Linked DNA regions of Lepisosteus oculatus. The protein of the gene in region 4 interacts with the protein of the main gene of each other region in a pairwise test. Links are inferred from orthologs where the notes say so. Each region holds a gene or a part of one and is shown on either strand. Other genes may lie near its edges. The genes, in order: bcam, txndc12, tma16 and klhl2.

Region 1 (7,610 bases), on a different chromosome or scaffold from region 4:
TGGAGAGTCACTGTAGAGACACTCAGTCCAGCTCCTCTGTATCTTCACACTAACACTCCTTCATCATCATCAGAGCTGTAGAGTCACTGTAGAGACACTCAGTCCAGCTCCTCTGTATCTTCACACTAACACTCCTTCATCATCCTCAGAGCTGTAGAGTCACTGTAGAGACACTCAGTCCAGCTCCTCTGTATCTTCACACTAATACTCCTTCATCATCATCAGAGCTGTAGAGTCACTGTAGAGACACTCAGTCCAGCTCCTCTGTATCTTCACACTAACACTCCTTCATCATCATCAGAGCTGTAGAGTCACTGTAGAGACACTCAGTCCAGCTCCTCTGTATCTTCACACTAACACTCCTTCATCATCCTCAGAGCTGTAGAGTCACTGTAGAGACACTCAGTCCAGCTCCTCTGTATCTTCACACTAACACTCCTTCATCATCATCAGAGCTGGAGAGTCACTGTAGAGACACTCAGTCCAGCTCCTCTGTAGCCTCACATTAACACTATATCTTAATCAGAACTGCTCAATATTTATAAATATTATTCCTACTATTTTGTATCTTCAGACATTTTACTAGAATCCGGAGAGAGCAGCGTAATATCGATCGGTCGTGCGATATCGGTAAATTCCGCTCGCTCGGGCGATACGTCATGGCGATTCAGCGCCGGTGACATCACTAAGTGCGAAGCTGAGTCACAGACCGTGCGGTTTCCGGAGCGGGCGTCATGTGCCCAGTGTGGGAACACGGCACCGGAGTGAGAGAAGAGAGAGTGACACAGAGGGGCACGCGGACAAAGAGCACACCGCATCGCTCGTCCTGACCCCGACCCGACCGGGCCGGCGCGTGCCACGTGTTCTGGACTCTCGGCACCACCAGTTCCGCTGGATTATAGAACTGATCTGGGAGTGCAGCGAATTAACACGGCGAGAGCAGGGTAAAAGCACAGTACGGTGCAGGGAATTACAGTATAAAAGCACAGTACACAACCGTAAAGCCCAGTGAGATCAGGGTAAAAGCCCAGTATAGTGCAGTAAATCACAGTGCGATGAACTTGAACTTGATTGCCGTATGTAACCGGTACGTGTACTGGTACAATGGAATTCTTACAGAAAGTCTCTCGGAGCTCATGCCCAGGGTGGTGACTGTCCTCTGTGATGGCCAGAAGTCTCCAGAAGTATTTGATCAATACCTTATAGCAGCACAATACTGATCTTTATTCTCTCCGTGACACATTACAGGACTCATTCAAAAATGCTGACTTTTGGATTGTGAGTCATTTTTGCAAATTTGGATACACTCCTATAGGGCTTTCTGAACACTACATTCCTTGTGTGTGCGGCTACACAGTGTGTTACAGTAACAGTGTGTGTGTGCTGATGGGTCACACTAGCTACACAGTGTGTTACAGTAACTGTGTGTGTGTGTGGATGGGTCTCACACTGGCTACACAGTGTGTTACAGTACTAGTGTGTGTGTGTGTGTCTACACAGTGTGTTACAGTTACAGTATGTGTGTGCTGATGGCTACACAGTGTGTTACAGTACCAGTGTGTGTGCAGATGGGTCACACTGGCTACACAGTGTGTTACAGTTACAGTGTGTGTGTGTGTGCTGATGGCTACACAGTGTGTGTGTGTGTGCTGATGGCTACAGTGTGTTATGTTACAGTACCAGTGTGTGTGTGTGCTGATGGCTACACAGTGTGTTACAGTTACTGTGTGTGTGTGTGTGCTGATGGCTACACAGTGTGTGTGTGCTGATGGCTACACAGTGTGTTACAGTTACTGTGTGTGTGTGCTGATGGCTACACAGTGTGTGTGTGCTGATGGCTACACAGTGTGTTACAGTTACTGTGTGTGTGTGCGCTGATGGCTACACAGTGTGTGTGTGCTGATGGCTACACAGTGTGTTACAGTTACAGTGTGTGTGTGTGTGCGCTGATGGCTACAGTGTGCTACAGTACCAGTGTGCGTGTGCGTGTGTGTGTGGCTACACAGTGTTACAGTACCAGTGTGTGTCTCTCAGTAATGGCTGGGAGATGGGGGTAATCGTGCTGTTAATTGCGGCTGATGAGCTGACTCAGGAGCTGGGCCTGGACTGGTCTACTGGTTCTGGAAGTGGCCCGGGGGGAGTTTGGGAAGGAGGGGGGCAGGACACTGGCTGGGTGTGAAGATGAAGTGGAGAGAGAGACAGATCGCGCCACACAGCTGGCGTCCGGACGGGCGCGCTGATGCCCAGAGAATATTTCCACAATCCAACCACACGAGTAATAAGTGTGAACAAAAGCCGTGCGGATCAGAGGAGGACGCAGCTCTGCAGCAGCCGCCTGTGATTCTGCTGGGGTTCCCAACGGGGCGACTCCTGTCACTGCTGGGCCGGCGCTGGCAGGGGGCGATCCTTCTGATCGCGGCTTTGTGCTCTGGCCGCTGGTGGCGTGGTGCAGCTGCTTTGAAGTTTGATTGACAGGGACATGAGAGGGGAGAGACGGGGAGAGGAGAGAGGAGAGAGAGCAGATCGAGGGAGGAGGGGAGGGGAGATGGAGAGAGAGGAGGTGGAGAGGGGAGAGAAGAGATGGAGAGGGGAGAGGGAGAAAGAGCCCTCGGGTGTCGGAGACAGATGAGAGAGAGAGGCAGGAGGGGGAGAGAGGGGGACAGGGGGAATTCATGAAGGAGGAATATTGTTAAGGGTGTTTGATGAGAATCCGTGTGAATAATGGATGAGGAGCCTCCATGTCATCTCCAAGCTCAGATGGCATTATTATTTTCACGGGGGTGTCACAGTACAGTCACACAGAGCCCCCCTGCTCTCCGTCCCACTCCCTCACCTGTCTGGGTGGCTCACTGCAGTGGCAGTTAGCACTGCTGCCTCAAAGCGCACTGATCCCGGGTTCGATTCCGGACTGGGGGGTCCCCCGTGGCCTGTTTCCTCCCCCCCCTCCCAGATGGAGCCCTGTGATGGACTGGACCGGCCAGCGGTCGTCCAGCGCCGGCCAGTCACCTTCACGGCCACAGCCGGCACCTGTCTGGAAACCGAAGGACGAATGTCGCTGAGGTCTGACTGGCCACTGTGGACGAACCCCGCTGGCCTGCAGCTGTGAGTGACCCCTGACCCCTGACCAGCCGCCCGCAGACGAGAGGCCGGTCAGACCTCTTAGCTCCTTTGGCTGCTTGTTCCCTTGTTCCACACTCCCTCCACCCTTTGTGTAAAGATCGATCTCCTGTTTTCAGCACTTCTCTGTAGTTTCCCCCTGTGTTCTGTGATTCATGTCTCACTGTTGATCTGGAGACGTCCGCCGGCTTGACTGCCAGTAATTGTGAAGATTGTGAATGCTTGCTCAGATCCCACAACACTACCTGGGACACTCCCTTCAGACTAAAGAGACTCAGTTCCTCCAGCCTGTCAGTGTGGAACATTCCCTTCAGACTGAAGAGATTCAGTTCCTGCAGCCTGTCAGTGTGGGACACTCCCTTCAGACTGAAGAGACTCAGTTCCTCCAGCCTGTCAGTGTGGGACTCTCCCTTCAGACTGAAGAGACTCAGTTCCTCCAGCCTGTCAGTGTGGGACTCTCCCTTCAGACTGAAGAGACTCAGTTCCTCCAGCCTGGGAGTGGGTCTGGCTGCTGGTCTACGCCTCTCTCTCCCTCCCTGTCCACAGCACTTGTTCGGCCACGAATCCGTACGAGCTGAAAGGGCTCTGGGCGGCTCGACAGCTGCCTCTGTGAGCACACAGCTGGTGAGGCTCTTCAAGAGCTCGTGAGCCTCACACATCAGTCCGCAACAATCCCAGGAATGTTTGTTAAAATACAACTATTATTAGTTGTGGCTGCAGTAACAGTAGAAATAGCAGTAGATTATCAGCAGGAACAGCAGCAGCAGCAGATTATCATGTATGTATGGACTGGATGTACCAGTACAGCAGGGACACTCACAGGACCAGTACAGCAGGGACACTCACAGTACAGTTGCTTACTAACAGTAGAATTGCTTACAGCAGGAACAGTGACAGCAGTAGATTATCAGCAGGAACATTAACAGGACCAGCACAGCAGGGACACTAACAGGACCAGTACAGCAGGGACACTCACAGGACCAGTACAGCAGGGACACTCACAGGACCAGTACAGCAGGGACACCACTAACAGGACCAGTACAGCAGGGACACTCACAGGACCAGTACAGCAGGGACACTCACAGGACCAGTACAGCAGGGACACCACTAACAGGACCAGTACAGCAGGGACACTAACAGGACCAGTACAGCAGGGACACCATTAACAATCACAGTGCTTGCAGTAGCAATCGCGTAGCTGCAGGCCCAGCCCAGTCCAGTCCAGCCCAGCCCCGGGCACAGGACGGAGCAGGCACGAACACGGCGGTGCTCTGCTGCTGCAGCGCGCGGTCCGGCATCCCCTGCGCTGAGCGGCGGGCCGGCCCGCGAGGACGGCGCTCGCGGTGATTTCGCCCGCAGGCGCCGCGAGGTCGCTCCCGTGCGCTGTGTTTTCACTCCGCTGATCCCCACCACAGCGGGGCGGGGGGAGGGGAGGGGAGAGGGGGGGGCCTGCCGGGGAGGAGGAGTGGGGGAGTCACCTTTTGTGCTGGTATATCAGGCGAACACAGTAGCGCGGCGCAACAGATCTTTCTGCGCCCTGCGAGAGCGAGGGAGTGAGAGCGACAGACGCACAGAGCCGAGCCGAGAGCAGGACCGAACCGGACCGCATCAGCAGCAGCAGAAGAGCAGAGCAGGACAGGACCGGACCGGACCGGGAGAGAAATGGACGCGTTCCGGGGGCTCGGGCGCGCTGTGCCGCTCTGCGCCTGGCTGCTGTGGGCGCTGCACGGTAAGAGCCGGTCTATTTCTGGAGCCGCTGTCCCGGGCTCGGGCGGGCTCGGGCGGGTCGCTGTCTGGGCAGGACGAGGACTCCCACTCCGGCTTCACCTCCGCTCGCCCACTCGTGCTGGTCTCGCGTGTGTCTGAGAAGTTCGAGCTGGGAGTCTGGACGCGTCTGGTCGCGTCTCCCGCCGGGGTGGCTCGGCTCGGCTCGGTCCGGCCCGGCAGGTGCGCCCGGCAGGTGCCGTCGCTGCTGGGGGCGGACGACCGTGTTTGTTTTGGGGGAGATGGGGAGGGGGCGTCTCCCCTCGTGCCCCTTGTACCCCATCAAACACTTTTTATTCGCCGTCAGACTCGTCCCCTCTCCCCGAACTGGACCCCAGGACTCCTCTCCCCGAACTGGACCCCGGGACTCCCGAGCCGTGTGCACTGCGCCACAGCTGCGTGGTTCTGCTGGGCCGGGCCGGGTCCCTGGTTAGGTGCTGCCGACGATCCCCGCTCGGGACAAGCGGGGTGGTGGGGGGGGTCGCCTGGTGTCTCGCGCCTGGGGGGGCAGATTCTTGCGCGCGGGCACAGCCTGGCGGGAGGGGCGCGCGCAGGAGACCCAGCCCGGGTTGACCCGAGAGCCTCGCCCAGCTGCGCCTGGACAGCAGCCAGGCTACCGGCTTCAGGGCAGCTTGTTCCCCACCCCCACCGCCCTCTGTGTAAAGAAGCGCCCCCTGTTGTGGGTTTTAAAGCTCTTCCCTGTAGTCCCCCGGGTGTCCCCCGGTTGGTGTTTCAGGGCTCACCGTGCCGGATGAAGAGAGCGCACTGCCCTGTGCGTGGGACTAACAGGACGGAACAGAAAACAGTCTCTTTAATTGAATGAAGAATCGCCGCGAGCAGCGCCGTTGCTGCGTCATTGTCAGTGCCCTCGCGCCGCCTGCTCCCTCGCGCTGTGTGCCGGGCGTCTGGGCCGGGTCTCGCACGTGCTCTCGGACCGGCGGAACCGGGGTTCGGGGCGGGACGCCGGCACTCGCGTGCGCGCAGATGAGCTGAGTCTGAGCGTGTGGCTCCACTATCGATCGGATTTCATCTGATGGATTCGATCAGGGCGATTGATTGATTGATTGATTGATCGATCGCTGTGATCCCATGGCGCAGGGATGGGTCCAGTGGTGGAATATTCGGGTGAGGCTTCTGGACTGCTGTGAAACTGGACTGAAATACACCATCACACCCTGTAGCAAACTACAAAACACACTGTAGTACACTAGAACACACTGTAGTACACTGTGGTATATACTGTAAAACACTATAACACTGTGGTAAATGCTGTGGTAAACTGGTCTACTAAGAGGCTGTGTGAAGTACACACTGTGGTAAACTGTGGAAGACTCCCTGTGCTGTCAGCAGCAGTGCTGGCAGGCTGTGATTCTCACCCGGGACACTGCACTCGCTGTGCCTCGCTGTGCAGCAGGAAAGGAATTTGGCAAAATGCTACCTTTCTCTCTGTCTCCATCCCCTCCTCTCTCCAGACTCTTTCATCTCCACGCTCCAGGAGTGTGTGTGCGTGCTGTGACAGGCCCTGTTAATGACAGAGGGGGATTTCAGCGTGTCTCCGTCTGTACGGCGCTGAGAGAGGAAGAGGAGGACTGATGCACGATACCTTAGGAATGAAGTCTAGAACTTCAGAACAGCAGCTCTGTCACTCAGCAGCTGTGTCACCCTGCAAACTGACTCTCTGTGGTCATTAACAATCCCAGGGTGTTTCTCTAAAAGAGTAGGGGTGTTACCCCAGTGTCCTGGCCAAATTTCCCCCCTGGTCTTTACCAGTCATGGCCTCCTAATAATCTGAACTGGCTCCATCCCTCTGCTCTCCTCCCCACTGAGAGCTGGTGTGTGGGGAGCGGACTGGCTCATCCAGGTGGGGGGACACACTGGTGGGGGTGGAGGGGATCCCCATGCCCTGTGAAAAGCTTTGAGTGGAGCGCTATACAAGTGTGCGCAATTCTGTTTATCATTAATTCTAACACCTCGTCCTGTGAAAACCAGCGTGCACTCAGATAACAACACGACTCCTAGTGCTGTTGCCACTACACCAGCCCTGCACAGCAGGTCATTAGACGCGCAGCCCTGTTCGTGCACAGTCGGAGGCGACCGCATCGATAACATCGACAATAATCGAGCCCACGCCGGCTCCCGCAGCGGCTGACACTCCCCTGCGTGTCTATTCCACGCTCGCGCGTGGGACTGATCCCACAATCCCAACGGCCGCACGGGCTCCTCTCGGATTCCGGGGTTCCGGGGTTTCAGCGCGAGGCGGAGAGAATCGATCGGACAGGCCGGTCGTGGGGGGTCCGGTAGTTCACGCGAGGTACCCTCTCCCTTCAAAGTCGGACCTCCTGCCTGGAGTAATTATCTCAGCATTAGTCGCCCCGGGTTTCAATCATCTTTCAATTATTTTTTTTAAACGACACCCCGCAGTAGGAATGCGTCGTGACACTACAACGATTCCGCCCTTTGAAGTTGGCGAGAGATTGAATTAATTAACAACACGGTCCTTAATTCAAGAGAGGTTTTCTTTCAAGGTCGCGCAGTTACTGGGAAACGTCCTGTGAAAATGAATTTCCGAGGAACCGCGGGTTTCAGATGTTGATCCTGCCTGCGGTCTGCGTATCGCGTTTTCAACCCCTCTCTTATTTTAGAGCTGTTTACTCATCGGGCTCGCCTGTAAACCTCAGAGGAGAGACGGCTGATAACCCGTATTGCTTAACAAACATTTTTCTCTCTCT
Region 2 (7,963 bases), on a different chromosome or scaffold from region 4:
CAACGAGCGGCGTAGGGACGGTCCACACCGACCCCTGCTAACAGAGGCTACGTGTACGCTCTCTGAAAAAACAGCTTAGATGCGTCAATTGTTTCCTACATTTACTTTTTATTTTGTGGGTAAATTGATGACGGTGCAGGATTTTAGGTAACGCCGAAAATGGAGAGGCAGCTGGGGAGGCAAAGCCATATTTAGTGCTTCCCCTCTGGCTGCACCCCCGGAGCTGGAGCCCATCCCAGCAAGCAACGGGCGAAAAGCAGGATACACCCTGGACAGGACGCCGATCCATCACGGGGCAGACAGACACCGACCAACACCCACACACCCTTCCACACCGGGCCCCCTTTTCTCAGGAGCCAATTAACCTACCAGTAGGTCGTTGGACAGCGGGAGGAAACCGGAGCACCCAAAGAAGGAAACCAAAGCAAACCAGGGGAGAACATGCAAACTCCCCCCAGATAGCTCCCCGGGTCTTGGAATTGAACTCAGGGGGGGCCCCAGCGCTGGGAGGCAGCAATGCTCACCCACTGCGCCACCGCAACAGCCTTAAACGGCACACATCACTCATCAAAACAAAAGCGGGCATCTCGAGATCCCTTGACCTGCAATCACCTGCAGGACACACACCTTGCCGCGGGAACTGCTCTGCGAGTTTGCGGAGGCTGGTCAGGCTGTCGGCGCCCAGCTGGCTGAGGATGCCCGGGAGCATCTCTGTGAGCTGCTTGGTTTCCGCGTGGCCGGTGATGGCGAAGGTGTTGGCAGACAGGGAGGCCTGCACCTTGGGGTTGTTAAAGTGAATCACGGTCCCGTCGTCTTTGATCATGTTCACCTGCGGAGACAACCCGCCGATCAGAACAAGCTCCCGATGGGGGGGGGATAAATCGCGTTGCTATCCGGGTCTTTTCTTTTTACTATCAACATCTGCCTTCACATGCCACATTAAAGACAGTCAGGCTAAACGAAGTGGTTTTGCTATTTTGCGCACGTTAAGGAACTCCTTTCAAGATTGTTTCAGATCACGAAAGGGCCAGAAGATCCTTAAGTACATAACTATCAGTTGGCTCATACTTTTATCCAATGTGACTTACCTTTGTACCTATTTTATACAGCTGGGCGTTCTACAAAAACAACCCAAGTGAAGTGCCATGCTAAAACGTCCAACTCCAGTGCCTCACCCAGGATTTGAACCCACAACTTTCTCAATACAAGCCCAGATCCCTCACCGCTACTTTACACTGGTGTCCAATGAAACAGACCCTGTGACACTGGGCTTGTATGAGGTTACTCACCTCCTCAATGCCTGCAATGTTGTTCACAGCCAGTTTCTTGAGAGAACTTTGAAGTTTTTTGTCATCAGCCGTTGCTGTTCTGTGTACCACCTTCTTCTTCCTACGCGCTGTTCCCTGCAGACCGAACAGGAGAAAACGTGGGACAGAGGCACACATGCGCGCGCACAAAAACAACAGGAGTGGAGGAAGCCAGGAACAGTTTTGAGGATCCAGGATGTGGAAAGCAATGAATAACCAAAACAAAACTGCAAGAGAATGACAACATTTCTCTTTGAGATTAAGCTAACATTTCAGCCAATTCCCGTTAATCACAAAGAACATAGGTTTTCATCAAAAACCTGGAAGAACTGGCTTAAATTAAACCCTTGGATGTTTTCCATCATCTATCCCAAAACCCAGAGTCCAAAATTTGCTAGAAGCCATACTACTAAACGAACTTCTACAGAATGGCTTTGAAGAGATGGGACAGTAGAGGGACATGAGCCTCTTGTCCTTTTGAAATCGCAGAGCTGGTAAAAGCCACCAGCCCCTGCATGAATGGCACAAACCAAACACCACCATGAAAGGAATGCCGATGCAAGCAGAACTAGGGCCTGTGTGGACAGCACGAAGAGCTGTTTTTTTTCTTTTTACCCCTTTGCTTTGACCAAGCGGCAAATAACAGGGGTCTCCAAACAGTGCTCAACGGGTCCGTGTCCCACTCCACTGACCGGAGGGTGAGCTTCAAAGTCATCCCCTTCATCCGCCATTATCAAGGGATGCTCAGCTCTATCAAAGCCGCAAGACTATTAAATGGATGAGTCACAGAACGACAGGTTCACTGACACGGCCATTTCTGATTCTCATCCGATCAACCCCAGTAGACCTTGACCCCACTCCCAGAACGGCAGGGTGAATGACTGTGAACCCTGCCTCGGACTGCACCTTCTCCTCAGGGGTGTGCCGGCTTCCCAGGAAGAGGGACGAACAGCTTCACTCGTGACCGACGTCATTAAGAGCACAAGAAAGGCTACAAACGAGACGAGGCCATCCGGCCCCTCTTGTCCCTTTTGTAGTTACAAGCTTAAAGCCATGAGGATCCTACGGGGCCGCTCCTCGTGGGAAGCCATGAGTATCAGCTTCAGCCACGTGGCGGTCTGATCCCGTGCAAATGCTCAGACCGAGCAAGCGTCGAGCAGCCGATGTTGCCGCCGACGGCAAAAAGAAATGTCGCCCAGAATGCCCATCGAGTAAAACCTGGCCTCCATGTGCTGGTGTTGCATTGACTGGCAGCACGACACTGTATAACCAGGAGAGTTACTGAGTTACTGATCTCGGGGCTAACCGCACTGCCGATCCAACCTAGAGTGGACTGTAAACGCAGGGCTTCTCATCACGATCAACCGTTCGAGATCGTCTGATCCCGACTGGGACCGGCAGGGTCAACGCCCCTAGAGCTGGAAGTTGACAGGGTCAGGCCTGGTGTGGCTTTATCGACGGGTTTACAGGTACAGCGTGTCAAAACAGACCGTCCGCCAGCAAGCAGAACTCAGTCCTCATCTATCAATTAAACAAGCCAGGTGGCCTCCTGGCTTGTGACCTTGCGTTCTTGAAGAAGCGCTAGTCAGCGATGTGACTGCCGCGGACCTGCCTTGTTCTTTTGGGAAGAAATCACAAAAGTACATAACAAAAGAACAAGACATACGGTTCAAAATAACTGTACTAATGAAAGCCATTTGAGAGGGATAACTTGACCGGATTTTATTCTGTTACTACTTTGAATAGCAAAGACAAGCTGTAGAGGAGATCGGGGGTGAGAAAAAAAAAGACTCCTACCTTTCCACCTATTCGAACCTGGGCCTGAAGCTTGGCTAATTTTTCTTGATTCATAGCGTTATCTGAAACACAAAAAGAACACAGCAGCTTCTGTTACTTTTACAAGAAAGAGCTGGTACCTCACTCAGCAGCTGTGCCTGACGGAGCACAGGAGAGGCAGCTGGTGAATAAAGCTGTTAAGTTACAGTCATGTACCGGAGTTTTTAAGAACTTCAGTCAAAACCTCAAACTTACTTTCTTCTGCAGGGGGACAACTGAGTTTTACTTAAGTGCTTTAAAAACCTTTTTTAGGTCCAGCATTCATCAAGAGCTTCCAACCTAAAACTCGGTTTAGATGCAGAAAAAAAAAATACAGGAATAATCATAGTGACCCTTCACGTAAAAACCAAGGCTGTCCCCAACAGATCCACTTCACACGAGAAGGGACAGACATAAATGTCAATAAAAACACGTGTTAACGACAAGAGGACATTTAATCGGCGCCTTGATAAAACCTCGCTCTTTCACGGGCATGTCAGCACACACTGACTGATCAGGAAAGAAAAAAAAAAGAGAAACTGCAACTGGGTTCTGCCCTCGGCGCACTGCCTAGCGTACGAGATAAAACACACACACCGTAGTCACAATGAACGTGCCTTTATTAAAATGACCAGCACACCCAGCAAGAATGCGCCCACTTGTTCTGATACGCGATATTAGTATCACATACGAACAAAAATACCCACAAATCCAGCTCCAGGTTTATGCCAGCACTTCAATTTCTTACGAATAAACGCTAAGGCCCATTTTCAGCCAACACAGTAGTATTTACGCAGGCTACCATTAGCAAATACCACACTGTCCACACACTGTGGCCGGGGAAAAAAAGATGACAACATTCTATGGGTTCGTTTCGCACGGTAACCTTCTTCCCCGCACCTTTTTTACTGTTTTTCTATTTTCCGTCCCCTCTGCACCACTACAGCAGAGATGGCCTCTCTCTTGACGGGGATCCAGACACAGACGCAGAGACAGGAACACGCGGCGACGAAAGATGGCGGATCTAAGGGAGAACCTGCGTCCGCTATCACGTGACGGCCAGAGGCCCCGCCCCCCGCCTTGGCGGAAGAGAGGGCTGTCGCGGTGTCGCAGTAAATAACAGTCCGCCGGCACGACTTCCGGTGGTCACAATAATTTATAATTCAGTATACTAGATAGAAAATTCTGTAACAGTAGTTTTACTTAATGACTTTTAACACTTAATAATTCCTTAAATATCACAAAATTATAATATTGTATTTAAATTATATCACAAATTATTTTCAATAATACAATAATTTTGGAACGTCAAACTACTGCTCAATAATATTTTAGCCAAATATGTATTTTGTTGCTTCATCCCATCGCTGACTGCTCTCACATATTGCCAACCGCATCACATGTTGTAGCCAATATTAAAATAGACCGTCCATTGCTAGAATTTTAGATTGTTTTATTTCATAGAAGCCATGCACTGATATAATAGCAATTAACAACAACACTGTTATCTGAACGTTGAGTTTAATAGTTTAAGATATTTGATCACATATAAAAGAGGAGGTTAAAATTCCCCTTTAAGCAACCGTATATGAGTGCTACCTTTTATTTCATTTAAATAATATACAAAAATATTGCTGGAATAGTTTTTCGTCTCAAAAGTAACTCAAGATAGAGTGGCAATCCCCCGGACGGCGGCTTGGAAACGTGCTCTTCTCTGCTTAGCACTGCCGTGCGCCTGTATGGAAAATGGAGGTGAAATATTTACGATCCCTTTAATTACAAAAAAACGCAGACCGAGCCAGCAGCTTGTCGTCACTTCCTCGATGAGGTCGGACCAGGAGAGTAAAATTACGCTGGGGGTGGGGGGTTGGATTTTTTTTTTGTTTTGGTGGCTTGGCACAAGGTTGAGTCCTATATTTACCGAAATCTGAAACTCATAATGAAGATGCAGATGCCGCTGGTTAATTTTACTGTGCTGTGCTTTTTGGTCGTTCTCTCTGTGGTTACAGGAGAGGGGCTTGGCAGAGGTGAGGTGTGCTATATTTTGGTGATGAATGTTGAATTCATGTTGGTCGGCAGCGCGTTTCACTGAAGGCATCACTGCATGTCTGTTACAGAAATCTTTGTGAACCTTGTGTGGGTGAGAGAGAGAGAGGGACGAACTGTTTTTTTTAGTTAATGGTTATTTAATCTCCGAAAATCGTGAAATTCATACTGCAGTTCTACTAGTGAGATCCATGTACAGTAGTAGCATGTAGATTTCATTTGAGACTGAAGAGGTGAACTAATCATGTTTTCTGGTGTATAAATAAAATCCTTCGTGAAATATCTATTATGCTCGCATGTACTATACTAAAATAATATTTTATCTTGCATAATCACACTCACAAATCCTTATTGGCCTGGCTGATGCGTTACAGTGTTGCGAAAGTATTTAGGGATACGTTTACACATTTGTAACAAATCGTTTACGCAAACGAGGTTCCACGACAATGCCAGCAAGTTAAGTTCGAAAAGTGTTGTCTAATGTGCTGTTAATGGAAATCCGATTCTCTTTGCGTCAAAAATAAGTAGTTTCGCTGCAAAATATATCAGGTTATCTCCTTTTAAATGCTACGGTTTTGTTTTTCCATTTGTACTGTTTTCTACAATAAAACTTCGCCATTCATGTGATTCTCCAATTCCCCATAAATGAAGGGAGGTCATCGGACTTTCTTAGGACTTTCTAGGACAGACGGTTTGATCTTTATTTAATACGGTAAATCAGATTCATTTAGGACATGAGAACGGTTACAAACGTGAGCAGGCCGTTGTTGAGCATTTTTGTTGGATTATTGTTAACTTTTTCAAAACCTAAGCACACTGACCTGCTCCTCACATTGCAGTTGTCCTGCGGGTTTCTAATTTCCCGTGAATATGCTGAAAACTCTAAAACCAGTGGAATGAGCTTAGCCATCACAGTTTAAGGAAAGGTAGGTTCCATGAGGGACTAACCAGCTTGGGTAAAAGGAAAGCTCGAAAGCAGTGCCTATTGGCGCTGCCAGTTGTGCACTGGTCCTTCATCATTTACGTCCTCTTCCTCAGTGTTTTAAGCCTCCTCTCGTTCCTGCAGCCAGTGGAGAAGAGAGTCCTGACAATACGTGCACAGCAGGAAAGGCAACCTGTTCTGTAGAGAGGAATGGGTAATCTGCTGTCAGAATACAATATGATATACAAAACTGAAATATAAGACTAGGAGTGTCGCGAAACACTAAAGGCCGGTCAAGCTAGTGAATAAGATCATTGTTGTACCTGGAGCTGTCACAGTCAGGTTTTGTAGTAACAGAACAATGGTTATGAAAGATATTCATTGCCATTACTTTGTCCTTCTGACACTTCAGTACAGAATGACCTATTTATACAGCTAGGTTTCTTACTGAAGAAGTCTCTGGGAAGTTCTGTGCTCAAGGGTACAACAGCAATACCTCGCACAGGAACTGAAACTACTACCTTACAGTGAGCAGCCCGGAGGCCTCAACACTACTCCTCAATGCTGCCTCAATCTAAAACATCACTGTAACTCTGAGAGACCTCCTCTTGCTTTCTTTGAGTTCATTAAAGAAGGAAGCATATCTTCAGAAGCACTTTCAGCGCGTTTTTCCCCACTGACTGCATTTTTATGTGCAGTATGTGACTCTTGTTAGCGGTTTTGGTTTGATCTTCCTAGTAAACTATTAAAATAGCTCCTGAAATGAATTCTCCAAGCTGTCTGTTAACAAGTGTACAGGAGGAGGTAACTGGTATGGCGCACAGTGCACTGAAAGCCATTTACTGGTATTCTATTCAAGGGATGGTTACGGTATCAGTCAAAGCCATCTTACTGAAGCCTTTGAAGAACTTTTTCCCTCATTCCAGTCTAGATGCTTTGGCTACTCTTTTGTTTTTTTTTTAAAGACCAAAGAGAGTAAAACTCCCTCTGAGCTTGTGTCGGCTTAACTCCGCCACTGGCAGAGGGATGATCCCGCTGTTCCTGTTGTTCTGCAGGGTTTGGTGATAATATTCACTGGAGGAGTCTGGAGGATGGCAAAAGGGAAGCAGATGCTAGGTAAGAACCTGAGACGCCCCAGCCAGCCCGTTCGGCATATAGTCGCCAATTGGACCCAGGATCTCGCGCAGCCAGTGTATCGGATTCAACTGCATGGCAGGGTAGCTTGTTCAACACCCCCGCCACTCTTTGTGTGAAGAAGTGTGTCATGTTCTCAATTTTACAGGCCCTTTTCCCCCATTGTTTCCACTGTGATCTGCTGGTTTGTGTTGGTCTGGTCCCCTTTGTAACATCCTCTCTTTCCAGACGAAAATATTTAGTTCTTTTAGCTTGTTGACGTGGCACATGTTAAGTCTGAGAATGTATCTGGTCACTCTTCTGAGGACTGATTCCAAAGCAGCAATATTTATTTTTGTAAGAAAGAAAATCGTACACAATATTCTAAATGAGGTATTAGTTGATTGTTGTACAAGTTTGGCATCCAATTCCTCAAATTAAACCCTACACTTCAAATTAGATATCCTAACATTATTTAATTAGAACTATATAAGTTATGTACTACATTTACCCAAAAAATACCAAAGTTCTAGTTATTGTATAAACCTAAACATCATTCACCCCTTGTTTAATATTGAGTAGAAGAGCAATACAAGGTATCATTCAAGGGTATCGGCTTCCACAACTGGGCTGGGCAGCTTGTTCCAGACTCCTGCAACAACTTATTAAATGCACAACTTCTGAGTTTCCACCCACGTCCCCTTTCTTTCATTTTCACTGTCGATCTTTGCAGGATAGACATCTTTAAATATTTACCCCT
Region 3 (7,356 bases), about 240 kb from region 4:
TCTAGAACAGGAACCGGAACAGGAACAAGGAGTTAAAATAGAATAATGAGGCCAGGCGCTCTGAGCCCCGGGCTCAGATGGCCAGGATGCCGGGGAATAAGGCCTGCCCTCGGGCTACCCGCGAGACCGGGGAATAGGCAAGCCATGTGGCGTCCATCTTCCAGTGTTGAGCCAGGAATAGCGAGAGCACCAGCCTTTAATAATGACGGACAAACAGGGAGCAAGTGCACCTAATGAACTAAAATACAAAAGAGTCGGAGCGCCCTTAAGAGGATGGATGACGATCATGACACTCACTCCATTGAGTCCAAAGGTAGACTGTCTCTTTCTCTCACCATTTCCTTTATAAACTCCTCTCCTGAACAACAACTACTTAAGGAGTGATTTAAATTCCATTTGAGCCTTTATCCTGTGAAATTACTTGTAGAATTCACAGGGTGAATACTTTGTAGAGCAGGATCCAGGGCTGATGGCAAAAGTTGGTATACCACTCTACTTTTGTGATAACCTACTTCTTCAATAATGCAGTGAACTCTGCTGCAACTAATCAAAGCATTCTTTTATTAAATCATTAATATCCCTTGTGAGCCAAATAAAAATGCATTTCAGAAGACTGAAAAGTATAATAAATTAAATATTATGGAATGTTCCAAAGTATCAGACATACAACATTACCATGAAAGAAAAATCTTGTCATTCTCTTGCTGACTGACAGAATATTAAAACAAGAAACAAAATATTTGCACCTGACATTCGGAACCGGAAACAAAATTAGATGAAAGTTGCTTGTAGCCCACAGACACAACACTGTGAAGTATACAGTAGGTTCTTTAAACATACAGTGTGTGGGCATCCTGAATTCAGGTGGCTACCAAAGGTTGCAGAATATACAGTATATCTTGTACAACCAAGGCACTTCTTTTCAATAGAAGATTTGGGTGTGTCGTAAAAACTTCATATTATGCAAAGCATCATACAAGAATTTCAAAAAGTAGTATGGTTGCCTTCTGTTACATTTCTGATAATAAAGTTGGCTAAACTTTTATTTGAGTAAAATTTATTATATACAACAGAACTTTCTATACATGACTACAGGTGCAATATCCTTAGGCACGTTCCTGCAGGACTCTCAGTAGTTCATGACACTTAATTTTAATAATCTAAGACATCCTCATGATTTTGTACATTATGCTCATATTTACAAAACATTTCCACCCACCAAATTGACACCTGTTTTTATCCAGGATTTTGACAATTGTTCATTTTTTGAATTCTCATTACAGCATCCCTAAAGGAAGTTTTCTTTCTTGATGTTGTACAAAGTTGATTTTCCTTCTGCAAAAACACATGGATTTTAGGACATTAAAGAAATTATATCTAAATGTTATTTAGTAACTTAATCATAGTAACAGATTATATGCCAAGAAAGAGGAACCCCAGAGTCTTCACTGTAGACATTTTGTCCCAAGACTAAGAAATAGACTTAAATGAACAAACCCTGCACATCCTTTATATAGCAAACTACTGTATGTGAGATTGTGCAGAGACCCTCCACCATCAGTCTAAATCATGACACATATTATTTTATTTGCTGTAGTTATTTTAGGATTAAATCTATACTCTCTTAAGAATTTTCTTGGAATGTGACACTCACTTTTTCTATTTCATAATGTTCTAGTACATTTCTCAGTGTTGAGAAATACTCAGCTGTGTATTTGATAATACATAACTGTTACATTTATTAAATAATATTTAATAATAAATAATAGTGTTTAAAGAACTTCATTTGGTCAAATTCTGTTTGAAAATTGCTCTTAAATTATCTTTGATCAGTGATAGTTATGTATGTTTGCAAAGCATATTCCATTTTCCCATTCATTTTTATTTTAAATGGAGATTATATATAGTGTTTACACTCACAAGAAAGCAATACAGTATCTTTATTTTGTAAATGTAAATGTGTATACAGAATTGTAATAGGTGGTAATATAGTCAACTAGGACTCCCAGAAATGTGAATTATCCCATGAAACAGATTGGTCTTTTTCTGTAGACGAATTCACTCATGTTGAATGGGGGCTTTTAAAGATAATTGAGTAGTAGTTGATGAAACTCTGCATAAAAACTACAAAGTAATCAGACATCAGACAGGCACTGATCCAAATTGTTCTAAAAAAAGGTGCAGAGGTGAACTTTTCTTTTTCATTTATGAGACATCTTACTTAATGACGTCTTTAGTGAATAAGACTGTTCAATTAATTCACATTTTACTTCCATCTGCCTTGAAGAAAATAGCTTCGAGTGAGTACAGGTGTTAGACACTTATTTTTGATTGCAGTGAATTGGGCTGGAAATAGACTCCATCTCCCCTTCACCTGCTGACTGTTGTCTGGTTTTAACGGATTGGCAATCTTGCCAGGGCCATGCTGGAAGGCTGGGTTAATGGGAGCATCATGACAGAAAACAAAATTAATCAGTACAGAAAAGAAAATGTGTTTTCCATATGGAGACAAGTAGTTGGGTAGGTGCTGAAGCTGGTCTTAAACTTGTTTTGATGCTCAGGATTCTCTTTTGCCAGCCTCCAATATATGCATGAGAAACTTGTCACATACAAAATGAAGAAATATGGGGAAGGATGGTCTAGAACTGAATCCTTTTGACCAGGGCTCTGCTCCTGTTCCCTGGCCAAAGATTTAACTGTACAGACTGAGTAATCAGATAACCTTTAGATAACTTCCAGGTCCAGTGCTGCTGAATTTTTTAACGCTGCTGGCAAACCAACCCTCTCCTTTGCAGGGTGTCAGGATGTCTCCTCCTGACATAAAAAAACAAGCAGTAAACAGGGATCTCTAAACCTACAGATACCAATGCCTACCTGTGCAGTATTTACACCTAAATGTACTCAGTTCCTGAGAAAGCCTGAACTCAAATTAATCCAGACCTTACAAAAAAGCATTCACACACAAAATTCAATCATGCCTCAGAATAAGGTATTGTAGCGAATTCAGGTTCTTGGGGTTTCTGCCCTTACCGCTCTTGCCCCAAGTCGTCCTCCGCCTCAGAATCAAACCCGGGTCTCCGGCGTCGCTCAACAGGGATATTGCCGGCTGAGCTCAGCCCGGACGGCCAACATCTCTGTTATGCGCAGGGGAGAGGGCGGTGCCGTCACCGCGCTGCAACCGGCTCGTACAACCTGTATGTCGGCCGTTCGTTACAGTATACTCAATAATAGGGAAAAAAAACAACAAATAATGAGGACACATTAATAATCAAAGCTGTGAAGTTTTCAGTCCTAGCTCAGCATTTTCCTTGGTAATAAAAACATAAGAAAGGTTGAAAACCAGAGTACATATTTTGATTGCTAGTAGCTAACTACAGTAAGTGGAGAATAAATGAGAGTTTACAAATAAAGATCTTATCCAGTCCTTTCTTGAAGAAAGCACTGTTATTGGCTTCTACAACTTGAATGGCTAGCTTATTCCAACATCTTACAACCTATTGTGTAAAAGAAATGCCTCCTTTTGTCATTTATTCTGTGTCTCACCTATTCATATCTCACCACTTTGTAATTGTAACCCTTGTCCTCTGATTCCTGGTAGCAGGCAATAACTAATACTATGTTCTCCCTTATGAAAATGAAATATATTGCAATATACCAGACATAATGTGTGGACATATCTTTCAGTATAATGCAAAATATATTTACTTCAAATTTATAGATATAAGATTATATTTAAAATGTAATGAAATAAATATTTACCATAATATATTTTAACAAACATATTTCCAAATATATGGTGTATAAGATATGAAATATACTGTCTCTCCAGACCCATGTTTCTGCCAGATCATTTACTTATTTATCTTATTTATTTATCTGGAAAAAGCCAAACAGTTTTTCCACATGAACACTTTATTTTGAACTCCCTGTAGCTCACTATAAGTAGTTCATGCAGGTAGTTGCGTCAGCATGCATAGCCTGCAAAGGACCAAGGTTTATTCCATGCTGAAACAACGTTGTTTCCTTTTGTTCTCTTTTCAGCACGACTGCTACACAAATTGCAGAGATTAGGTTTAGAAAACTGGCTAGTTGTGTACAGTAGGTCTCAATGGCTCATGAACACTGCACCTCTAAGAGAACTGTACACTCCCCCCGTAATCACACAGAGCTAGTTCTTCTACTAAGTTCTAGTGTTTCTACTTGCTGAACTGCATTATCTATTGTGACGTCCTACGGGTCCAGTCCAGGTCTCTAATGGTTTCACCTGTGGTAGTCAGGTGTTTTAGCCGAGAGTTAACTGTATAAGTAACATTCATAGCGATTAAATTTCTACTATGGGCAAGGGAGTAAGGTGGAAAAGGTGAACAATTAAAAGGCATTTGTTGCATCGTTATTCCAATACCGGAATAAACCGAGGATTTACTGTACCTTTTTTTTAAGAATTAGGAATGTGAAGCCGTAGAGTAAATGGAAGACAAAAAACATATAATTTCGTTTATATGATAAGATGCTCCTTTAGGTGTTGACGTGTGGATCAACAAGTTTATTATTATTATTATTATTATTATTATCACCAATGTGAAAAACAAATTGTTGCTATGATGATGAATATGGGAATTTCAGTAAAGGCTAGTGTGAACCTCCTTCATATATAAGCAAAAAATCACGTTTACAGTCTATTCCATCTCTAATAACGAAACACCCCGTCTTTTCAAAGGACTGTAATATAAGGGAAGGGGTTACCGATATTGCTGTATGTCCATTAAATCACGAATGAATTTTTTTCAACGCCGAAACGCATATGAGAATTTATGTATGTGTGCTTACTGGATCACTGTCTGAAATTAATTATCATAAATATACGATCCTTTCCACTGTATCGTATATACAAAGTTTATAAAAATCGCTAAAGCAAATGAAACAAATATCCATGGCAATGTAACTGACCTATCCCGACAGAGTACCAATGCTGATCATAAATTTCAATATTGTATAACATTTAACGATATTTTATCATTTGTGCATTTCATCGTTGTTGCGTGTCAAGTCAGGTTTTTCTGATTTTACAGACATTATTCTGCTTTAGCAATTTTCGTTCTTTAAATCCAAAGTCCGTTAAACTGGAGGTTTACTGTACTCATTCTCTCCGGAACATCACATTGCGGTTTACTGAGATCGGGGAAGAAAAATATTGTCGTACCATTTTCCGTTTTCTCTCACAGACGGAGTTGGGCACGTGGGATACAGCTCCTTGACAGAAATGGTGAGTTTTGTATAATATATCATAAGGTAACTTCACTTGTAAAACCAGAGTGATGGCATTTTATACGATTAAATAATTTTTCCCTTTAACATTCTCTAGTTCTAGTTTAAATTGTAAATTTAAATATCTGTTCATGTCGATTACTTTTGATGTTACTTCTAAGTAGCAACTTGTCTGATCAATATATAGATATCTGTATTTAATGCAGAGTTGATATAATAACGTCCTTATGTTGAGATGGCTTCAAGGTAACATACACCGAGGTAAAAATAAAAAACGTATGCCTATTTTATTTTAATTTAAACTCCTTGATAGCCAGCACTACACCAAGTGAACACTAGTCGTGTTCAATTGCAGTACATGTAAACTATCTCTATCAAGTACTATTGTGCAGAAAAGGCACCCTTTTCCACAACTGAATAATCCAGACATTTATCTCTAATGTTAGTCCCCCTAAAATGGGGTTTCTGTTTTATCGTACGTAAGAGAAAATTTCCAATTTTATTAAGTGTTGAAGCGTTTTCAGTAGCATTCCCTTAAGATTTTTGTTACCTTTAATATATGTCTTAATGTTTTGGACATTGTATATATGTGTAAGTATGTCATAGTGGGTAAAGCACTAACCAACACACTTGTTTCACACCGCCGTGTCTTAGCCTAAAGCCCCCAAAGGCAAAGGAGCGGCGGAGAAGAAGGTTGTTCACCCTTACAGCAGAAAGGCTGCTCAGATAGCGAGAGGGGTTATCAAACAGGAAAGGAAGGAAAGGTAAGAACACCTGGCGGATTCCATAGTGCTTTTGATCTCTTGGAAAAAGAGCGAGCAAAGAAATACAATAATTGAAAAATACCATCGACCCATGAGACCTGCATGTGTGTCTCCTTCCTGTATTTCCACAAGAATATGCCAAGCTTTTTATAGGGTTATTTTTCCACATGATTATGATGTTTTAATAAGCAAGATGCACTACATTAGTATGTAAAATGTCCTTTCTCAGAAAAATGTAAATAGTGCATTGGTTAGTTTGGCTTTCTCCCACCAGTAAAGATCACATGCATTGATGTTGGGTATCGAAGGCATCACAGACCAGTCTTTTCAATGTGAATCAGGCAACTTTTTAAAAAGAATTCTAGTGTCAAAATTTGGGTTAACATTTTGCAGACCTCAAATTATATTAAACTACCATGTTACAGCAGAATTCCCAGTCTAATAAGATTTTCATAAATACTCAAACCGGTTAATTCATGTCCTTTTGCTCCCTCTACTGAATACTGTAAGACCTTCAAGCAATTATTTAACAGCAAAACACTTATAACAATTGCAGTCTCAAATGACATGTATTAAACTCTTTGAACCTTTTCAGTCAGATTTAGACAGACCTAGCATTGGAACAGCCCTTGTTAAATTACTTAACGATTTGCTCCCCACTCTAGGTCACTGCATATTCATTTACGTCTGTACCTAAGTGCAGCTCTTGACACTGCTTGATACAGCCTTTGCACTGGGAACATTATGTATGTATCACTTCTGTATTCCTTCATTGATTTGGCTCCTTTTTGACTACCTAAGAGGCAATTTATAAATCTAATCTTGGCTGTTTAAAAACTGATGCTATTACGTTTAGGTTTTGTGCTGGGGTCTTTACTATTTCGTCTTGCATCTTGGTGTAATTATTTGCCATCCTGGACATGAGTTTTGATGTCATGGTGACTGAATTATTTTCAGAGCAGATCAGATACTGCCGCTGTGGATTTTGCACATTACCGGGTCATTGATATTAAAAGAATGAATACAAAAGAACTCAAGCTAAGCTGTGGCAAACCTAAAGTTGTGCTCCTAAGCTCCCCCATGAGCTTTGCAAATGTGTTGAACTTGGTGTTATTTCTGGACCTGAGTTGTCATTTTAAGGGATGTGTCACAAATGTTTTTTATTCTCCCACCTGTAAACATTTCTCACTTGAATTAAGAAATGAGAAATGTTGTTACGCTTTTATGTAAATTGTACATAAAAAAAAACAAATGGGCAGCATTTTCATTTCATTATTATAACCATCATAGGTTTCATTATTAACGCCTTCATTTTTTATTTCCTCAA
Region 4 (6,850 bases):
TGCTCCAGATCTGTCAAGCTATTTGAAACTAGTTAACTTCGCTGTACTCAAAATGATAAGTAACCTGCTCCTGATCTTTGTCTCTCTATAAATTCAGCACTGATTTGTTTTGAAATCGCCTTGTTCTTCATGGTCAATTTGTTGTACCGCAATATCGTGACTTCAAAATCAATATCTTCTGTACCTAAGAGTACTTATAGAGACAGATGCATTTACACTGAAGTCAGCTTCCACTTTGATTCCACACACAGAGAGACCATTATACTAACTTTGTAGGATTTCAAACTATCCTTTAGCTCCCGAATTGATTTAAGGCTATTGTAGCAAAGAGGAGGAACACTTTTGCAATTGAATAATTTCTTTGAGCACCTAATTTATGTACAAACTGTCAGCATTGTTAGCTCTGTCAGTTTAGAACTGATTATATAGATTTTTTTTTCAATTTTCCAGTTATGGAACTATGGAGCCAAGACATTCATCAGAAGACAAAGGTGGGGAAATTTGCCCATTCATCCTGGTAGATTTGCTCAAGTTCTTAAAAGTGCTTGAGCATTTAGCTTACAAATAGCATTTTTCAAGTCTTTCCACAGATTTTCAACAGGTTTCAAGCCAAGACTTTGATTGGGTCACTTCTTTTATTCTTAGCCCACTACGGTGTGCTTTGGTATTGTGTTTTGGGGTTGTTCGCTGAAAAGTGAATTTTCATCGTCGTTTTAGGTCTTCAGAAGACTGAAGCATGTTTTCCTCTAAAATTTGCCTGTCCTTCACTCCACCCTGTTTCTCCCAGTTTTTCTCCATCATTCCCTGTTGAAGAGAAGCAGACCCATAACATCATATTGTTACCAAAAAGTTTAACAGCAGGGATGGTGTTGACTGGCCTTCCACTAGATGTAACATTTGCATGTAGACCAAAATGATGCAGTGTTGTCTTGTTTAGCCACAAAACACGTTTTGCCACTTGTTTACAGTATCACTTAAGTGTTTTGTTGCAAACTAGGTGAAGGAGTTGAAATGTTCTTTTTGCAAGAATGGCTTCCTTCTTTCCAATATGCCATACAAGCCAGCTCTGTCTCATGGAATCATATCTACATGAAGTCTGTAACTTTTTCAGTCACTGTTGGCCTGACAGTGGCATACCTAACTAGTTCCCTCCTTGTCCGACTGCTCAGTTCTCACCTAGACAGTCGTCGACTTCACTGTGCTCAAAGGGATATGTAGTCTCTTTGATATTTTTCTATATTTCTATAGAAATAAATAGAAAATATAGAATATGATATTATTCTATATTTCTATATTTTCATCTCTTGTTCTGCGCCTTTCTACAGCCGTATCCCTGAGTTGTTTTGAAAGGGTGTCTTCATAGCTGAAAATGTGCTTAAAATTCACTGCCTGACCTTTTTTATTCTGAAACCATATGAATCACTATATTCCCCACAGATAGTGGCATATCAATTGTTGCTTTAAAGTGACACGACAACAAGTTTTCAAGTAATGAATTGTGATCACTAATTGTCTGAGTACTATTGGCACTCTATGTACAGTTCTGTGAGATTCAGAGCCCTGTCATCTACAGGCATACAGAATTCTGCCCCTATAATCTTAAAACACAAAACATTTTTTTGTTTAAAAGAGAAAACCTGCATCTTGAAACAAGTTCAGGATTTAATCTTCCTCTCTTAATTTGTGCTCACGGGCATAAATGGAATCAGAATTTCCAAATAAATATGCCTGCAAACTCTCTTGTATTATAATGCTCAGATTCTTGTAATCTTTCGGCATTCAGATTACCTGGACAGAATCTGGTTTCAAGTGGGATTGGTGAAAGGCACTCTCTCGCAGCACAAGCTTCTGTAATGATGTCTATCCTTTCCTCTTTCTGTTTCTCAAACCTGTTTCATGGAGGCTGTCTCAATGGCCTCACTGATTGTTCCAGCTTCCTTAAATCAGTATATCTGTTTTAATATAGCTGTTTAAAATGATCTAACAGTGATTTGGTTTAACCTTAGTTAATTACAAGGTCTCATTTTTCGTGATCCATACCTTTTGCTCTGTTTACATGTCTCAAGGCCAGTCGACAGCTTTTTAAATACAGGATTACAATATCTATTGTTCCAAACCTTCAAAATAAGGCAATCAAGATGAGAACTGTACACAAGCTAATTTGAAAGTGTAACTCAGCAACCACCATTACTGCAACAATGTAGTATATTTAATTTTTCAGAAAGCTTTAAAGTTCCCCATAAAACTGTAATTCTTAACTAGCAGTTAGCATCTAACTGATAGAAAGCATGCAGTTCAGACAGTGGTCAGTTAGTGGTAGATGCTGAAAAATATTGCGATATAATCAGTAATACCACAAGAATCTATATCCATTGACCACTGTTCTTGATATTTTACATCAAAATCATTAACATTCAAAATAAGAGAGCTTAATCTTTTTGTATCGAACGACGAAGATTATGAGGGAACCTGATTCAAATATTCATATCGATGAAGGCATTGACAAAATATACCTCTTACACTTCTTCAGAATTTGACAGTGAAACATGAATAATAGAATAGAAATGGAAACTATGGGACGATACATTTAAAATATCACAGAGGGAACGTTTTTATATGAACAGCAGCAGGTGTCTGTAATATGAGATGTTAGTCGTTCTGGAGAAGCTGGTACCCTAGCTTCCTTGAAAATATGGTTGGATAAGATTATTGGATTGCTTAGCTTCTAACAACTAATTGAAGTAAAGGCAATAACAAATCGTTTGAACAGCCCACAATGCTCATTGGAATGTAACCCACAGTTATCACAATATCCCACTTCAATTTATAATAATAATAATAATAATAATAATAATAATAATAATCATAATAATAATAATAATATAGAAGTTATATAGAGCCTATAATGCTAAGGGGGACTCCACTCCACCACCACCAATATGAAACACACACCTGACTGTAAGTGACTTAAGTCTCTCAGTTTTGGTGTTGGAATCTTGACTTTCCTGCTAACGTTAGAATCTGTTGGATAATATCTTCCATGTGTTCTATTTTCTTGGACAACAAGTAGACTTTAAACAGTACCATCGTGAAAACCCCTTGAGATTATTGCTATCATTACCCATATGCTGCTGTCGTGACAAGACAGCCGCTGATAAACACCTATTTTGGTGTGTTGTCTTTAGAGCTGGTGTTCACTTATTAAAACTAAACACTGCAGTTATGAATGTTTGGCAATATAGGCCACATAAGCACACAGTACTACAAACAGCTGCAATACTTACATAATCAAAGATTAGTAGCATAAGTTACTTAAATACATTAATCATGGGGGACTCAACTTTTTATTAAGAGCTTACACATTTATTTGTGCCTGAACAACTTTTAATAGGTGATCAATTCACAGACACAGACGTGAATGACAATGAATCAAACACTAAGGTAAACTTTTTTTTTCCTTTTCTCAGAGGTCCAGCCAATCACAGTTCATCTAACACACCAGAATAAGAGAAACTCCGAAACTAAAAAAATGTGTATTGAGTTCGTAACACCAACTACAATCCTAATCACTTTCTTAAGAGAGAAAGAAAACGTTAAAACAAGCCTCAGATGGAAAACAGAAATGAAATGGCTTGTGGAACTGGGGACAAAACCAGAAAACACCTGAGCTCCTGAACGAGGTGCGGGAGGAATGGTTTAAGTAGTGTAGTACTGTTTAAAAAAAGTTGAAAAATTTTGACCGGTTTTCCATGTTGGTAGTCTTCCACCAGCAGGGGGAGCTACTGTTTTTTCTCAACAAGTCTGTCTGAAGACGGTCTTTGCTGATATATCCTTGTTTGTGTATTTTAATCATTGAAGGAAATAACAGGTAGTTCACTGTGCTGCTCGTAGCATCTGTACCTTGGTTTTGTGTTCTTCAATATGATCAGTGACTTGGATGGTATCTCTTCGCTCTGTCTGCCGTGATTTTCTCGCTGCAGTGCTTTAGCGAGCGGAATACGAAACTGCTTCCAGCTGAACACTTTTGAATATCAGCAGACTGAATGACACGCGATTTATCGCCCGGCAGAATGAGTGCGAATTAGGAGGACGCTATCGAAATGGATTGGAACCCCTTCCACCGGCACAAAATATAAGTGATCGGTGCATTTCTTTATTTAAAAAAAGACCCGGTTCTGCGATGGAATGGTGCAAGCCGCCGCGTTCACTCCCCGCGTTCTGAAGAGAGACAACACAATGGAGATACATCCAATGTAAGCGTATGGTGTAAAACGTCCATCGTTTCACCGGTGAAGCTCGGAAAACAGGTTAAAGATAGCTGAATACAGAATAATACAAGCGTTAAGATAACCAGACGGGTCTGTGCTATAACCGTTTTGTTGACGAGCCCTCGAATAAGAGCGGTGTCTGTATAAATACAGCGATGTAACAGTGTGGGGTGGTATTGTTCCCCGGGAGACCGGAAGGCACTGACCGCTCCATTAGGCTACGTTCATCGTATAGGAATAATATAGGTGTTATCAATATAGGTATATCTGTTATGCGCTAAGAATCCCGTCAAACGAGAGAAATAAGGAAATAATGCTGTTGTATGTTGTAAACATTCTAGTTCTTCCATCTTGGTCAATACTGTTTTATTTGATGAAATCTAAAGCAGTCGGGTTTCTTTTTTTTGTGCAAAAAAATAATACATTAATGAATTTTGTTCTCCATTATTTTGATTGTCTTGAGTATGAATCGGTTAAAAACTGTTTTTAAAGAAACTAATTTGATTTTGTTTCATCTGCGTCTGACTAGCCCTTATAAGCTACATCCATGTACACGTCGCAGACTAAATTAAAGATTAGAAATATGATGCAGTGTTTTAAAAATGATTTTTTCCCTAGCTAAATCTAATAATCTAGTAACTAGCAAAACGTCATCAATTCAGTTTAGCGATGCCTGCACTGATGATAATGGCTTTTAACAACATGACAGAAACCTATGCATTTGTAATGTTTATTTCTGATGTATTTGAGGGGTCGTGAACTATGGCTGTATTAACTGGGAATGAGGTAAAGTGCACCCCATTATCTTGGTTAAAATGCTTGATTGGCATCTCGTTGTAAGAGAAAACGCAAAAAAACAAAAGGTAAAGAAACAGCAAAATTGTTTCTTGCAAATGACCAGATGTTTTTTTCTTAACGGTTACTAAATCATTTGCTGGTTTTTAAGTACGTGATATCTGCATTATAGAATGGCGGTGTTTGAAAATAACATATTTTAAGGTACTTAAATACTCTAAACCAGATTCACTAACACAACCGTGTTTCTTACCATTTAGTACAAATGTTATGAAACGGCTTTGAAAGTGGGTGTTCATTTTTTTTAATAATGCAATGGCATAATGTGGTTCAACAGACTTCTTGTCATCTTTAGTAATTATATTTCAGAACAATAAGTCGACAATGACGATCTCTCACGAGAATTCAGTCATCACATTACAGACTGCAGTGTCTATTTACAATTATTTAGAGCATGGTCACACTTTATCTGTAAAATCACTTATACTTTGCTAGGAGTTTCTGTTGACTAAGTCTGTCTACGTATAGTATTTAATTTATTCTAATGATGTTTCTGTTTGTTCTGAACATGAATAAAGCAAAGGGTAATTATAGAAAATTGTTTAATTTATGGTAGTAAAAGCTTATGTTTGCCTGCTGCATGTCTGCCAACAACTGTCTCATATAAAGCTGTTCTTAGACTGTTATTTTTTGAAATACCAGACTTAAAAATTTTAGATTACAAACCAGGCATGTTGAAAATGGTTTAACTTCTGTTTTCAGGGTTACAGTAGGAAGAAGTCAATACTGTACTGGGGCTTAGTATTTCAATGGAAGTTTTATATTTCCTTTTACTCAGCACTGTTATCATGACACAGATCCCTTAATTTGGCACACATGACTGACCAACCAGACTAGACACTGAAAAGGCCATGGAATGATTGTATTGTGTTCATTGAATTCACATTTCTTTAAACCATCATACTATAGCTACACAGAGGTGCCATGAACATTTTTGTGTTCTGTTTTTTCCCATATCAATTTTGAAACCTTATTTTACCACCACTTGTTCCTGACATTTTGAAGTGAAGTGAAAGTCCCTGGAACCTTTCAAGCTCTGTAACTTGGCAACTGAACTTAGGAAAACCAGATAATTACAATACATAGGAAATTTGTGGCATGAAAGGCTTGCATCTCATGCTCTGTGCCATTTGATAACTGCTGCTTGCAGAACAGTTTTGATGTTCTGTGTTGTAGTCTCTCTGCTGCAATAATGCTTCATAACTTAATATAATATGAAATTAATAAATAGAAAACGCAGTGAAAAAACGTTTCAGTAACAGTATCTGAGACTGTAACATTAACTGTATTCTGTGTTTATCTTTATTGTCTGTGTAACACATACACCCCTGTGTATAACAGGGATCTCAGCTGCCCGGTCTGAGGGAGGTCTCCTTTAGCTCAGCTGGCAAGTTTCCTGTTGCGTGATGCCAGAGACCCAGGTTTGTGCCCAGCCAGTGAGAGACGAATGGGCAGGGCAGGAGCAGCAAGGGCAGAAACCCCAAGAACCTGTCTTTCATTCTTTATGAAAGAAATCATTGTAGAAGTGTTGGTTGTTCACAGTTTGCCTATAGTAAATATAGTATGATTATGTAAGCCAGTTGTTCTTGAACATTGGCTCTGATTTAGGAATAGAAATTGTCCCTTGGACAATTGGGCGGTGCTGTGGCTCTGTGGTTAAAGATCTTTGCCTGTGGCTGGAAGGTTGCCGGTTTGTATCCCCTGGCCGGCAGAGGAATCCTTCTCCA

The links.
Region 1: the proteins of klhl2 (region 4) and bcam interact in binary tests that used the Homo sapiens proteins (3 or more experiments, as listed by UniProt). The two-hybrid records come from large-scale screens. The link is inferred for Lepisosteus oculatus from reciprocal best matches to the Homo sapiens genes KLHL2 and BCAM.
Region 2: the proteins of klhl2 (region 4) and txndc12 interact in binary tests that used the Homo sapiens proteins (3 or more experiments, as listed by UniProt). The two-hybrid records come from large-scale screens. The link is inferred for Lepisosteus oculatus from reciprocal best matches to the Homo sapiens genes KLHL2 and TXNDC12.
Region 3: the proteins of klhl2 (region 4) and tma16 interact in binary tests that used the Homo sapiens proteins (3 or more experiments, as listed by UniProt). The two-hybrid records come from large-scale screens. The link is inferred for Lepisosteus oculatus from reciprocal best matches to the Homo sapiens genes KLHL2 and TMA16.

Annotation. Positions count from the first base shown.
Region 1 is NC_090722.1:10,514,307-10,521,916, reverse strand, and holds the start of bcam (basal cell adhesion molecule), read left to right. Parts: upstream 1-4,607; 5' UTR 4,608-4,779; coding exon 4,780-4,846; intron 4,847-7,610. UniProt on the Homo sapiens protein: Transmembrane glycoprotein that functions as both a receptor and an adhesion molecule playing a crucial role in cell adhesion, motility, migration and invasion.
Region 2 is NC_090704.1:3,618,475-3,626,437, forward strand, and holds the start of txndc12 (thioredoxin domain-containing protein 12), read left to right. Parts: upstream 1-4,951; 5' UTR 4,952-5,061; coding exon 5,062-5,149; intron 5,150-7,145; coding exon 7,146-7,206; intron 7,207-7,963. Other genes in the region: btf3l4 (transcription factor BTF3 homolog 4), read right to left, coding at 628-829, 1,290-1,403, 3,105-3,158. UniProt on the Homo sapiens protein: Protein-disulfide reductase of the endoplasmic reticulum that promotes disulfide bond formation in client proteins through its thiol-disulfide oxidase activity.
Region 3 is NC_090696.1:22,441,374-22,448,729, reverse strand, and holds the start of tma16 (translation machinery-associated protein 16), read left to right. Parts: upstream 1-4,335; 5' UTR 4,336-4,360; intron 4,361-5,222; 5' UTR 5,223-5,260; coding exon 5,261-5,263; intron 5,264-5,919; coding exon 5,920-6,029; intron 6,030-7,356. UniProt on the Homo sapiens protein: Involved in the biogenesis of the 60S ribosomal subunit in the nucleus.
Region 4 is NC_090696.1:22,199,493-22,206,342, reverse strand, and holds the start of klhl2 (kelch-like protein 2), read left to right. Parts: upstream 1-3,832; 5' UTR 3,833-4,185; coding exon 4,186-4,253; intron 4,254-6,850. UniProt on the Homo sapiens protein: Substrate-specific adapter of a BCR (BTB-CUL3-RBX1) E3 ubiquitin ligase complex that mediates the ubiquitination of target proteins, such as NPTXR, WNK1, WNK3 and WNK4, leading most often to their proteasomal degradation.